Linked DNA regions of Caenorhabditis elegans. The protein of the gene in region 1 interacts with the protein of each later gene in a pairwise test. Each region holds a gene or a part of one and is shown in the gene's direction. Other genes may lie near its edges.

The links.
Region 2: the proteins of F09F7.5 (region 1) and lec-1 interact in a two-hybrid assay, tested with the Caenorhabditis elegans proteins (2 studies listed by BioGRID).

What each region holds. Positions count from the first base shown.
Region 1 is NC_003281.10:5,545,044-5,551,803, forward strand, and holds F09F7.5 (CRIB domain-containing protein), read left to right. Parts: upstream 1-2,066; 5' UTR 2,067-2,088; coding exon 2,089-2,174; intron 2,175-3,129; coding exon 3,130-3,216; intron 3,217-3,270; coding exon 3,271-3,334; intron 3,335-3,382; coding exon 3,383-3,552; intron 3,553-3,704; coding exon 3,705-3,788; intron 3,789-3,835; coding exon 3,836-4,841; intron 4,842-5,257; coding exon 5,258-5,407; intron 5,408-5,965; coding exon 5,966-6,070; 3' UTR 6,071-6,172; downstream 6,173-6,760. Other genes in the region: putative kinase-like protein D1044.1, read left to right, coding at 1-91, 415-609, 683-795, 937-1,183; F09F7.6 (Ferritin), read right to left, coding at 6,279-6,389.
Region 2 is NC_003280.10:13,194,937-13,200,438, forward strand, and holds lec-1 (Galectin), read left to right. Parts: upstream 1-2,009; 5' UTR 2,010-2,172; coding exon 2,173-2,217; intron 2,218-3,097; coding exon 3,098-3,673; intron 3,674-4,305; coding exon 4,306-4,542; 3' UTR 4,543-4,777; downstream 4,778-5,502. Other genes in the region: btf-1 (BTAF (TBP-associated factor) homolog), read left to right, coding at 5,235-5,363. UniProt on the Caenorhabditis elegans protein: Binds galactose.

The sequences.
Region 1 (6,760 bases):
TTTTCATGCGAAAATTATTGAGATAAGTGATGAGATTCCATGGAAGAATTATGAAAATGTGCTTTATGATGCGGCCTATATCAGGATGTTGGTGAGTTTTGAGCGGTAGGGAGGCAGGCACGAGATATTCAAATAGGCCTGAAAATGTGCCTGTCTGCCAGTGAAGCCCTAGGTATAGTAAGAAATAAAAAAAAAAGAGTATATTGCAATCGATTGCAATCTGGGCACATCTTTTCAAATTTCGAATTTAAAATTGGGCACATCTCTTTGATGGCCGCGAAAATTGGTGGCCGAATATTTTTGGAACTTATTGGAAATTGACTTTTCACAACAACCCGTAAATATGGTGTATGGTGTTTTGCTTACCTGAAAACCAGAGCGGCTCTTTCTCACGCTTCAGAATCAAAATTCCAGCACAACGACACCCTTGATTTTGAAAAGTTATGCCCGGCGGAGCTCTCCGGAAGAATTCAAGAAGTTAAGCATGCTTTTGATGAAGATGGAGTTAGAAATTCCGAAAAGAAAAACGAAAAACTTGGAATGCCATTGGTGATATGTCATAATGATTTGAACGCGTCAAATGTTCTATGGAATAATGAAACTGGAAAGGTAGAGTTGTCCAAGAGGACTACGTGTCATAGAATATAAAATTACTCCTAATAATAAAATTGAATAATTTCAGATCCAGGCATTTATCGATTTCCAGCACGTGTCAAAGGGTCCCGTCTCCTTTGATATTATTCGTATTTTGTGCCTTGGATTGTCAGTGGAAAATCGAAGAGCAAATACTCAAAGGTATCTTTTTCTAAGTCTAAACATTTTCAATAACCGAAAGAAGTAAAAATTGAAATGGCCCGCTTTTTGGCCGAGATTTGAAAATCGGGTTCGGAGATATAAAACACATTTCAAAACAAAGAGTCAGTTTCCATTTTCCAGATACCTGAACCACTACTATACGACCTTCAAATCTCATTTTTCCACGGCTCCCTTCACTTTCTCCCAACTCGAAGAATCCTATCGAACTCACTTCAATTTTGTGAATGCCACGTCACTATTCAGTCTGTCGTATTACTACAAAATGTATAAGGATGAGAGTTTGGATTTGAAAAGTGGAGCTGACGAAAGGGAACACAAAGCTCAGGAGATTTTGAGACGGACTATCGGAATTTTGGATGATATGTAATAGAAGAATATTTTTTAAAGATTTTTATATTATACATTAAAACAAATAAACTACTACTAATATTTGGAATTTTTTAAATTTTGATGATGAACAAAGTTGCTTAAAACATTATTTCAAATATGACAACACATTTTAAATTCTTTACGAAACAAAAATAATCCTAGTAAATCTTCGGTAATACATTAAAAACATCAAAGGTTTCGTAAATCAATGTTAAACAAATTGCGAAATATCGTCCGACTTGCAGTCAAACACTAGAGTATACATATACATAATACCCTTCCGTAACCCGGTTTTTAGCCTCAAGAGATTACTCATCAGATCGACACATGTTTTCTTTTTTCACTTCAACATGCTGCGTCTCTTGTCAATTTGATCTGAGTAATCTATGGGAGATCAGCAAGAACAATTTGCTATTTGCTAGAAATTGATAACACTTTTTGAAATATTTGAAAGGTAGTTTCTATGCTAGATTTTTCTATGTTAATCTGAATTTTAACATTTTTCAATTGATTTTATGCAGTACCTGAAAGTGGTCAAAATTTTGGAGCCATCGAACGACGCTTCAATATTCCGCCATGCTACAAAACTCAAGATTCCTTACAAGCGTCTTTGGGCGGAGCTTGAGCACGGGTGTCATTGGAGCTTCAAACTTCTTGGCTTCCAATTCCAAATGAATCATTCTTTCAACACATCACCTCCTTCTCAATAATTCCTTATCACTACTCTTTTTCCAACTGCTTACACGTTTTTATCGGTTATTTCTCTATTCCCCTTTCTCTCTCAGTTACTCCGGGTGTCTGTTCTCCACAGTTTTTGCAACAACTTGCGTGGTTTGACCATTGATTTTTTTTGCCTCTTGTTACTTTATTCTTGATTTAAGACAGGAACCGGGTTTATGGAAAATGCCCAACGACTTGCCGTTGCTGCCTCCGAAGAATCAGCACAAACACTTGGATAAAACTATGATCTCACTGCCGTCGGATTTCAGGTAAGGAATAAAAGTTGAGGATGTTATGTTAATCCGTACATTCGAATTGGAATGTATCTGCAAATTCGTTCTTGAAGAACATTAGTAGGTTAGCTTCAAGCGGGATTATGACATGTCGACGTTTTAGGCCCGAGAAAGAAGCGGAGTTCTTGCACTCTCCCCTCCCCCACACTCTCTAACCAACCCATTTTTACAGTGTAATAACTTTCATCAAGATTTAGCCAATAGCTGATTGATTGTGCTGATTGTGCTTTTTTTAATTGATATAACATTTAGAAATGAGGAACATTTAGAAACATGAACAGTTTATTCAAAAATATTAGGCTTACAACACTCTACACTTATCTCATTACAACATTCTTTTATTATCATATTGACATCCATAGACTGAAATTCCAAGTTTTAGAAATCAGAAACCTTGGAAACAAAACTTACCATTTTGCTAGGTAATTTAGCTGACACAGCTGGAACCGCCAACAATTCAGTCATGAAAATAATCAGTGATAGAAACAATAATGCAAAACTAGCATACATGTCAACTATGAATATTAAGTTTAAAATTGTTATGTAGTACCTAATCACACGTGGACTAGCAACAATTGATAAAACATTGTTATATATTATAGGTACCAAGCGTTAAATCTTACACTATGGGCTATTGTCGTAAAAAATAAAATAAAATAATACAAATCACGTTACCTGAAATTTTTTAAATTCTCAATTTTTTCGCAATTCGCCATTTTAATTGTTTAAAAAGATATGAGAGGAGGAGAGTTAAGACACTCAGCTTCTCTGTACTCTCCCGTGCCTCCATACGTCTAAAACTTACAATTTTCATACGAATTAGTTTCTTACAATTAGTAGATTCGGAGACGAATTAGTTACATTCGTATTAGTTTTACTCATTGTGTTTTAGGTTTTAAACAATCTATCATAGTCAATTTTTATATTACAGGCATTTGGCTCATGTCGGTCCAATGGGATCATCGGAAATTGAAAATCTTCGGACGAGCGATAATGTGATTGATACGGTTAATGAAAGGTTTGTGATCTACAAGCATTACTTGAATTCAATGTGGATGAATAAAGAATTCAGCAGCTACTACATAAGACCCTCCTCGTCGAATAGTACACTCCGATCGCAGAGAAAAGAAAAAGATGTAGGGAACTATTTAATTACTTTTCTCCAAAAAAGTTCAACTTTTCAGAGAGTTGGACTAGATGATGCTTTCCCATCAGCTTCAAAAAGTGAAGAAGAGGTTGAAGTTGTCAGAGGTTACGAGAATCAACCAACATCCCACCAATACATAAATATTGCTCCACCACGTCCGAGCAAGAAAAATTATAAGGCTCCAGCTCCCCCTACTCCTCCTCCACAGTGAGTATTTGTATGACATTTTCTAACAACACAGTTTTTGAATTAGTTTTTTACCTCAATTCCAAGAAGTACTTCCTTTAGAATTAAGTTTCTTACTGGCGCTTTCAAATTTGACAACTGAATCAAAAGTTGGTTGAGAATTAAACTTTCAGGAACAGCAAGCCGAATTTGATCTTCAACGCCCAAGACGACGAGGAGGAAACATCAGAAATCTCAGAGCAACCTGTAGTTTTTCGGTATTTCTTGATTGGACCCTGAAGTTTAAAAATTTTTCAATTTTCAGGTCAATCTCCCACACTTCGAATATCTCAACACACATAGCTCCACCTCCAAAAATCCAAACCGCCGACCGAATCGTTGCACCGAAGCCTAACTCTCTGGTGATCGAAAGACCGGGTGATCTTGGTGGTGCTTTTAGTTTCGGTCTCGATGATTGCATTCCAATTGTTAAAAGTACACCACCTCTCAATACACTTTCTCCGTTGCATCGGCCTTTGGCAATCCCGAAGAATCAGGAGGAGACACCGATATTGAGTCCGGCGAGTCCGCCGGATGACTCGAATTATATGTCAACTATTCGGAGCACATCCGTTCAAGGGAGAAAGATCTTGGATGAGCTTGACGATTGGTTGGATGACCTGGATGATCTCGATAGGGATCAATTATCCACAATCAGTACTGACGAATCGGGTTATCCGACGCTTGCACTAGAAAAAGATCGGGCTTTTATGAAGCATTTGGTGGAGAAGTATGAGTTGGGGGTAGCTCCAGAGACAATTAGACTTCGGAAGAAAAAAGGACCGGCTCCAAAAGCTCCAAGCCTCCCTCCAGACCTCTCCTCTCCAACATTCCAAGCTCCAGGATTTATTCCTGCGTTCTCCGCTCGGCCTGTGAGTATGCCTCCCAACCGACCACCTCCCTCATATGAAGCTCCAAGCTTTGATGCTCCCGAAGCTCCTGGTACAGTATTAATCAATGGAAGAGCCTTGACAAAGCAAAATGCGCTAGACCTCCGCTCAAGTGACGAAAGTGGAGTACCTCCTGCAATTGCCAGGTTCTTATATGATAAGAGGATCAAGTCAGCAACAATGCCAATGTCCATCGGAAGAATGACGTCTTCATCTGGGAACACGGATGTTTCCACTACCTCGTCAAGATCAAATGCAGATACTGTGTCAAGTATTCTGTCGACGGTTGGGGAGGATGATGATGTGGAAGTTCTGAAAAGGGATCGGGAAGTTGAAGAAGAGTTTGTACCGCCCGTGCCAAAGCCGAGGAGCAGAAAGACGGTAAGCTTTCTTGTGTGATCCACAAGATCAGTTATGTAGGTGCAACATTAAGAGAGGAATTACGGAATTAAAGTATTACTTTCAACTTTTGAATCATATTTCTGACCATTTGATGAGTCACCATAAAATAGATATTTGTGAATCTGAATGAGAGGGGGGGGGGGCAAAAGTTTCAAGAACGGGTGCTCCTGAACCTAAACGATATTTGCTCCAATTACTTGGATCTAGTCGTACTCACGATTTTCACAGTTATTCTCACATTTTCGAAAGCAAATCAGTTCCGCTACCCTTTGACCTGATTCTATAATTTATTCTCTCCCCTCTAGAACAAATATAAATCTATTTAAATGAAACCGATACAAACATCAAAAAGTCAACAATCACCAATGTTCTTCTTCATTTGTTTTTCTTCGCAGGTCTCAACGGAACCGTTAAAAGAAGAAGAAGAAGAAAATGTCGAAGAGGAGATAAAGGGCGAAAACGTGATTGGGGAGGAGTTTCAAGTGGTGGGAGATACAAAAATAAATGATGAACAAGAAGATCGGGTGGAAGCGACAAAAGACAAGGTAACTAGTAGTGATAAAAGATCAATCGCCAAGATAAGCTTATTGGAATTTGAAATAGTTTGCTAATTACCCCTAGTTTCCAATTTTTCCGAGAAAGTACTTTTGTTGATTGGAACTGCCATTCATAGGATCACAAGGTGATCGAAAACAAAAAGAAGCAGCTGACTACTTGCGAATTTCCAGTAGAAATAGATTTAGAGAAGCAAGAAATTCGAGAAATTCTTTAGACAAAATTTTTCTTTGGAATGGTGGGTCATGGGTCCGCACGTACCCAAGTTTCTCTCTGAGACTGAGCAAAATGTATAAGTGGGCTCTCAATACAATTTTCTGTCATAGGTACGTGCAGACATTTTTAAGCAAACGATCGATCAAACCAAGTAATGAGCAAAAATAGTGCTAATAGGTTAAGATTTCCTACGAGGCAGGTTGCATACCCTAGCAGATATTTCTAAATAGATTTTGTACCAAATATCATTAACTGGGGAGCCTTCAGTAGTTGTCCTATTTCCTGGCACTTGTTAATTTTCAAAAAATTATTCAAATTCCCACTATTTTCAGATTAATGACGCTTTCATCATGCTTCCACCACCTTCAGCAGCCGCAATGATCCCATCAGATTCAGAATCCGAAGACGACGATAATTTCATTATTACTCGATTTTAAATTATTTGTTTTACTTAAATTCTTAACTAAACTCTAGTCAATTGTCTCTCTACATTCCAGTGCCAAACCACCATTCCATTAAAAATAAATTTCTCAAATAAAACCGATTCGATTTGCGAAAAAAGCAATATATTTTATTTTCATTTCTTCACAGCACAAAAAATAACAATTTGGAAGGTATGTACAGAATCCGTTTCGATCAAACGCGTCAATGGGAGGTTTCAAGCAACTTTTTCAGATGCTCCTCGGCGGCTTCCAGATCATCACGGAGATAACGGAGTTTTGCAGGGGTCACAAATTCCTCGTTGTATACGTTTTTCTGGAAAAGTAAAAGGGTTTAAAGGGTGGAATGGGATAATCTTTTGTGGCCTACACTATCTTTTTTAAGTTGTTAACTGATCTACAATCTCGAAAATTCCCCGTAAAACTGCAATTTTTGAGTAATATGTTCAGTTACAGCCTTTTGGAAACTCAAAATCCTAGTGCTTTGTCATTTGAATTTTGCATTTTGTCCAGCGTACAGAATAGTTTTTGCTAAGTAGTCGAGAAATTTTATAATTTGACGTTTCAGAGAAATTGAAAACTATTTTTTTCCGAAAACGGGCTTAACTATTGCAATTTTTTAAATTTGAGGTTGTGGAATAAAGTACTGTTTCCATCGCAACATAATTTGCGCGTAAAACATGGTGC
Region 2 (5,502 bases), on another chromosome or scaffold:
TGCGATTTGCCGGCTGGCCGATTTGCCGGAACTTTCAAATTCCGACAATTTGCCGATTTGCCGGAAAAAACTCGTTTGTCGCCCACTCACAAATTTTTAAATTGAACTTTTTTAAATTCTAATTAACTTTAGAACCTTTAAGAAAAATTTTGAAATTCTTGCTCAAATATTGACATAAACCGCCTATATACAGTACCTCATAAAAGCCTAGAAAGAATATGTATTCAAATTCAATCATAAATGTGTCACCACCTCATCATAAACAAATCTCTTCTCCCCTCCCATATTTTCTCACAATTTTATCACCATGGTTTCTTCTTCTTCTTCTTCTTCAGAGAGAGAGAGAGCGTCATTTCTCACACACACACACAAAATTTTCCTGCATCTCTCACACACGTTCTGTGCTCTTTTGTCTCTTGTTTACACGTCTGTTGTCTCTCGGACTTTATTTACGAAATGCTGCGTCTCTCCTGCCCTTCTCTCTCTCTCTCTCTATTGCGCCCAGAGACCACACTTTTATTGCCATTGTCGTCGTCGTCGTCGGAAATTTTCTCGCTTTTTCATCTTCTTCTTCTAAATAATCATGTTTTTAAAATTCAATTTTAATTTCAGGAACCACCGAAAAGCCACCACCAGCAAAAAATGTCCGCCGAAGAGCCAAAGTCCTACGTGAGTTTCGTTTCTAACGGTGTTGTAACAACAACAAAAAAGAAAAGAATAGAAAAAAAACCGTATCAGTACGGGGGTGATGAAAGTGCGGCGGCGGCCCCAGTCAAGCGTAAGAAATAATGAAAAAGAAAGGACAGAAACTTTTGGAGAATTTGCCCGTTTCTGTAAGTGTCACCTCTATAGTTCACCACCGATGTTTGGACTACTACTACTACGTGTTGAATCAGAAGGAAGATCAGACGCCGCAAAAAATATATTTGTTGATAGTTGATTTCGAAATTGTAGTTCTTGACACTGATGATTGATCGTTAAGTGAACAATTTTAAAGAAACGATTTTTGCATAACGTCCAGTTTGCAGCAATTCTACAGAATCAGGTTGAAAAGCTTCGAATTTAGAAACGTCTTCAGCTAAAGTGAGACCAAAATGTTTCCATCAAAAGCTCAAAAGGCATTTTTAATCTCTTTTTTCCAGCTTGAAACAATTTCCAGTTGATCTTTAAGATGCTTACCACTCGAATTTCAAATTGCTTCTGCAGTCTTCTATGTTAAGCCGTGTCTCATCATGAATGTCCTTTCTCTTCGATGTCTTGTGCCTTCTTGAAAATCTTCCGACGAGTAGTAACCTCCTTTTTCTCGAATATAGAACAACAAATGGCAGTTTGGCAATTTGGCAATTTGGACAAAACACTAGTACACCATGAGAACCTGCCTAAGATCAATGCCACATTTTTTCTCGCCTTGGCCCTAGTTGTGCAACACCTTTTCAACGTTTGAAGCAGGGGTGGGCGGCAATTGCCGGTTTGCCGGAAATTTCAATTCCGGCAATTTTCCGATTTTCCGCAAATTTCAATTCCGGCAATTTTCCGATTTGCCGGAAATTTCAATTCCGGCAATTTGCCGATTTGCCGGAAAAAAATCGTTTGCCGCCCACCCCCTGGTTTTTGAAGTGCATTTCGAGCCTTTGAAGTTGAAGTTTGCACGTGACGCCCAGACTCGAAATGCGGTAAACAGTAATGCGAAGACGCAAATATTGAGCATGGATTTTGCTCCGAAAACTTTTGTTGTTTGAGTTTCAACAAATCATACAAAAAAAATTTCGAGCTGAAAACTGTACCAACACTCATTATCGATCTCTTCCTCTCCAGAAAGTTCCGTTCCTTTTTTCAATTTCACTGTTTTCTTCGCCTACAACGACACGATGAATCATGGCGAGAAGTCGTATGCGAGAGACTGTACGAGAAGTCGGAGACACAGACAGATGCACAAAAAGAAACATTTCAATGTCGCCTCGCGCACATGCTGTCACCCTCCCATAATTCCATGCTCTCTCTGACTCAATATTGGGCGGCGCTTGCGAATGTTATGACTGTTCAACTGTCTGGTTTCTCTCTCCTCTCACACTCTCAGCTTTTGTTGAAACTGTTTACCGGTCGTCAGTTCTTCGTTTGACTCGCGTCCTGAACGATCGCTTTCAGTTTTCCTCAGCTCAACTCTTTACACTAATGTCTTCCACTCCTCAATTCCTTCGCTGGTACGAGCAGAACAAGGTAAAGCATGCCTCTATACATGGGGGTGTCAGGCTGTCCCATGTTTGATCTACAAAAAAAAGCGGGAATTTTTTCTCCTGCAACTTTTCGGAGATCAAACTGACATGGGACATTCTGACACCAGCTCGAAAATGGAGAGCATTCCAAGTTTGTTGGTTGCCACTAAAGTGACACATTCCTCTCGTTATCTGCTCGCCCACACCTTCGGTTCCATTATCAACATTCGAGATTCCCGCCATATTTCTGGTGTGTTTGCTCGGCGGCACATCACAACAAAATTTTGTGCAAAATGGAGCAAAATGGAGCTAAAAAATAGAAAGCAACTAGACAATGTAGAAAAGGCATTTTTTGTCGTCGTCAGCTGTATGAAAGTCTGGGGAGCGCGAAGATTGGTGGATGCAGATTGGATAACAGCTCTTCCGCTTTTTCGGGTCTCGCTTCTTGCTCGCTTATTCTGTTCACCAGTGTGTGACACGCGAGGTCCCCCCCCCCCCCCAGCATATATTTCTACATGATTACCCTACTGAACATTTTAAAATGGCATATGGAAGAAGAAATGGTTCTAGAAAACTCTACTTATAAATCTATTACCGAAACACAAAATTCTGAGAATGCGTATCGCGCGACATATTTGACGCGCAAAATATCTCGTAGCGAAAACTACAGTAGTTCATTGTTCATTACATGACTACTGTAGCGCTTGTGTGTCGATTTACGGCATTTCACAAGCGCTACAGTAGGCATTTAAGGAGTTACTGTAGTTTTCGCTACGAGATATTTTGCGCGTCAAATATGTTGTGCAGTACGCATTATCAGAAAAATGTGTTCCCGTAATAATCCAATTAATTTTTTAAAAAATTAAAATTTTTAAATTTTTCAGCCAGTACCATACCGCTCAGTGCTCCAGGAGAAGTTCGAGCCCGGACAGACGCTCATCGTCAAGGGATCGACGATCGACGAGTCGCAACGCTTCACCATCAACCTTCACTCGAAGACCGCGGATTTCTCCGGAAACGATGTGCCACTCCACGTCTCTGTCCGCTTCGATGAGGGCAAAATTGTGCTCAACTCGTTCTCGAATGGAGAATGGGGAAAGGAAGAGCGCAAGTCGAACCCAATCAAGAAGGGAGACTCGTTCGACATTCGCATCCGTGCTCACGACGATCGCTTCCAGATCATCGTCGACCACAAGGAGTTCAAGGACTACGAGCACCGTCTGCCACTCTCCTCAATCTCTCACCTCTCGATTGACGGAGATCTCTACTTGAACCACGTTCACTGGGGAGGAAAGTACTACCCAGTACCATACGAGAGCGGACTCGCCAACGGACTTCCAGTCGGAAAGAGCCTCCTCGTCTTTGGAACCGTTGAGAAGAAGGCCAAGCGCTTCCACGTCAACCTTCTCCGCAAGAATGGAGACATCTCGTTCCACTTCAACCCACGTTTCGATGAGAAGGTAAGGGTTGATATATGCCACGAGGCACCACAGAAAGGAGAACCACGACAAAGGAGAACAGGAACCACGTCCATTTTTCCGTGCCGCGAGAGGCACCACATTTTCAGGATCTGGAACCGTACCAACTGCGGTTTTTGCAGTTTTCTCTCGATGAAAAACGAAACAACGATGCTCCGATGTTATGCGTGTTGTTTAGCGTTTTCCAAAAGTTTTTATTTCAAAAAAACATTATTCTGAACGCTAAACAACACGCGACGCGTCATATCGGAGTATCGTTGTTTCGTTTTTCAGCGAGAGAAAACTGCAAAAACCGCAGTTGGCACGGTGCCCCAGATCCTGAAAACGTGGTGCCTCAAAATTTGCGGAAAACTTGCGGCACGGAAAAATGGGTGTGGTTTCTGTGTTCTCCTTGTTCACCTGTTCTCCTTTCTGTGGTGCCTCACACACACATACACAAAAAGACCCGCATTTTGTTTGCTACATTTGGGCAAATATGGCGCTCTTCAACAAACAATTTTATGAGACACAAAAGTTTTGCATGTGTCTATTTCTATTGGTAAAATTGGTGAAAGGACAAAAAAAAATCGATTTCAATAGAAATTTGACCAAATTCTTTATTTCCTTTCTTCCAGCACGTCATCCGCAACTCTCTTGCCGCCAACGAATGGGGAAATGAGGAGCGCGAGGGAAAGAACCCATTCGAGAAGGGAGTCGGCTTCGACTTGGTCATCCAAAACGAGGAGTACGCGTTCCAGGTGTTCGTCAACGGAGAACGCTACATCTCGTTCGCTCACCGCGCCGATCCACACGACATTGCCGGGCTTCAGATCTCTGGAGACATTGAGCTGTCTGGAATTCAAATCCAATAAATTATGTATTGATATCCCCTGTTCCCCCTCTTTCTTCTGTTATCCAGCTCTCCCATTTCTCTCTCTCTCACTGATCAATCTTCCAAAAGTCTACTGCCCCTCTCCCCCCCCCCCCCCCCCAAAAAGAATCATTTCTCTATTATTTCGCACCGGCAACTGAACTGTAATCCCGCGTTTTTCTTTTTGTATCTTTTCTCACCCCCCACATTGTATTTTAATAAAATTGGATAGCAGATTTTCTCGTTGTCATTTCAGGTTTCATATTTTGAAAGCGGATCATCATGAAAAGTTCTGCGAAAAAAACGCGAAAAGTAAGCGAAAACTCGAAAAAACTATATTTGAAAGTACCGCCGTTTTTGTCCAGGAGAGCGCGTTTTCCTCGAGTCACTACAAATTGCACGGAAGTCGAATCGTGAAAACCGCGCGTGTTTCCCATCAGGTTTGCCTACAAAATTTAGTTTTCTTCTTATTGTTAAATCAATAATTATTATAATGTATAATGTGAAGCTCGAAATCTTGAATAATCCTGAATAATCCTGCTATAAACTCGGGTTTCTAAAGTTTTCCTCAGGATTTTTGTTCCCTGGAATGCGTGGTGTCTCCCATTTTTTTTTGGATTTTTGGATTTAAATGCATTTTTCGCTGTTTTTTCTCTCAAATAAGCCGGAAAAATTGAAAATTTTCAGTTTCCGATGAGCGCCGACACGTCGGCTCGTCTTCTTCAGCTTGACCCTCTACTCGAAGCGAAAAATCCGAATGTTCGAAATGAAGCGGCCGCTGCGTTCGGGAAATTGTCAATTTTAAGTGAAGACGTGAAAAATGTTGGTTAATTAATATATATTTTTTTTAAATCACAAGAAAAAGTAAAAAATCACGGGTGAAAAGCGAGTTTATATATTTTTTTCCCTCGAAATGCCGAATATTAATTATAAAATTCAGTATTTTTGGGTTATTTTGAGT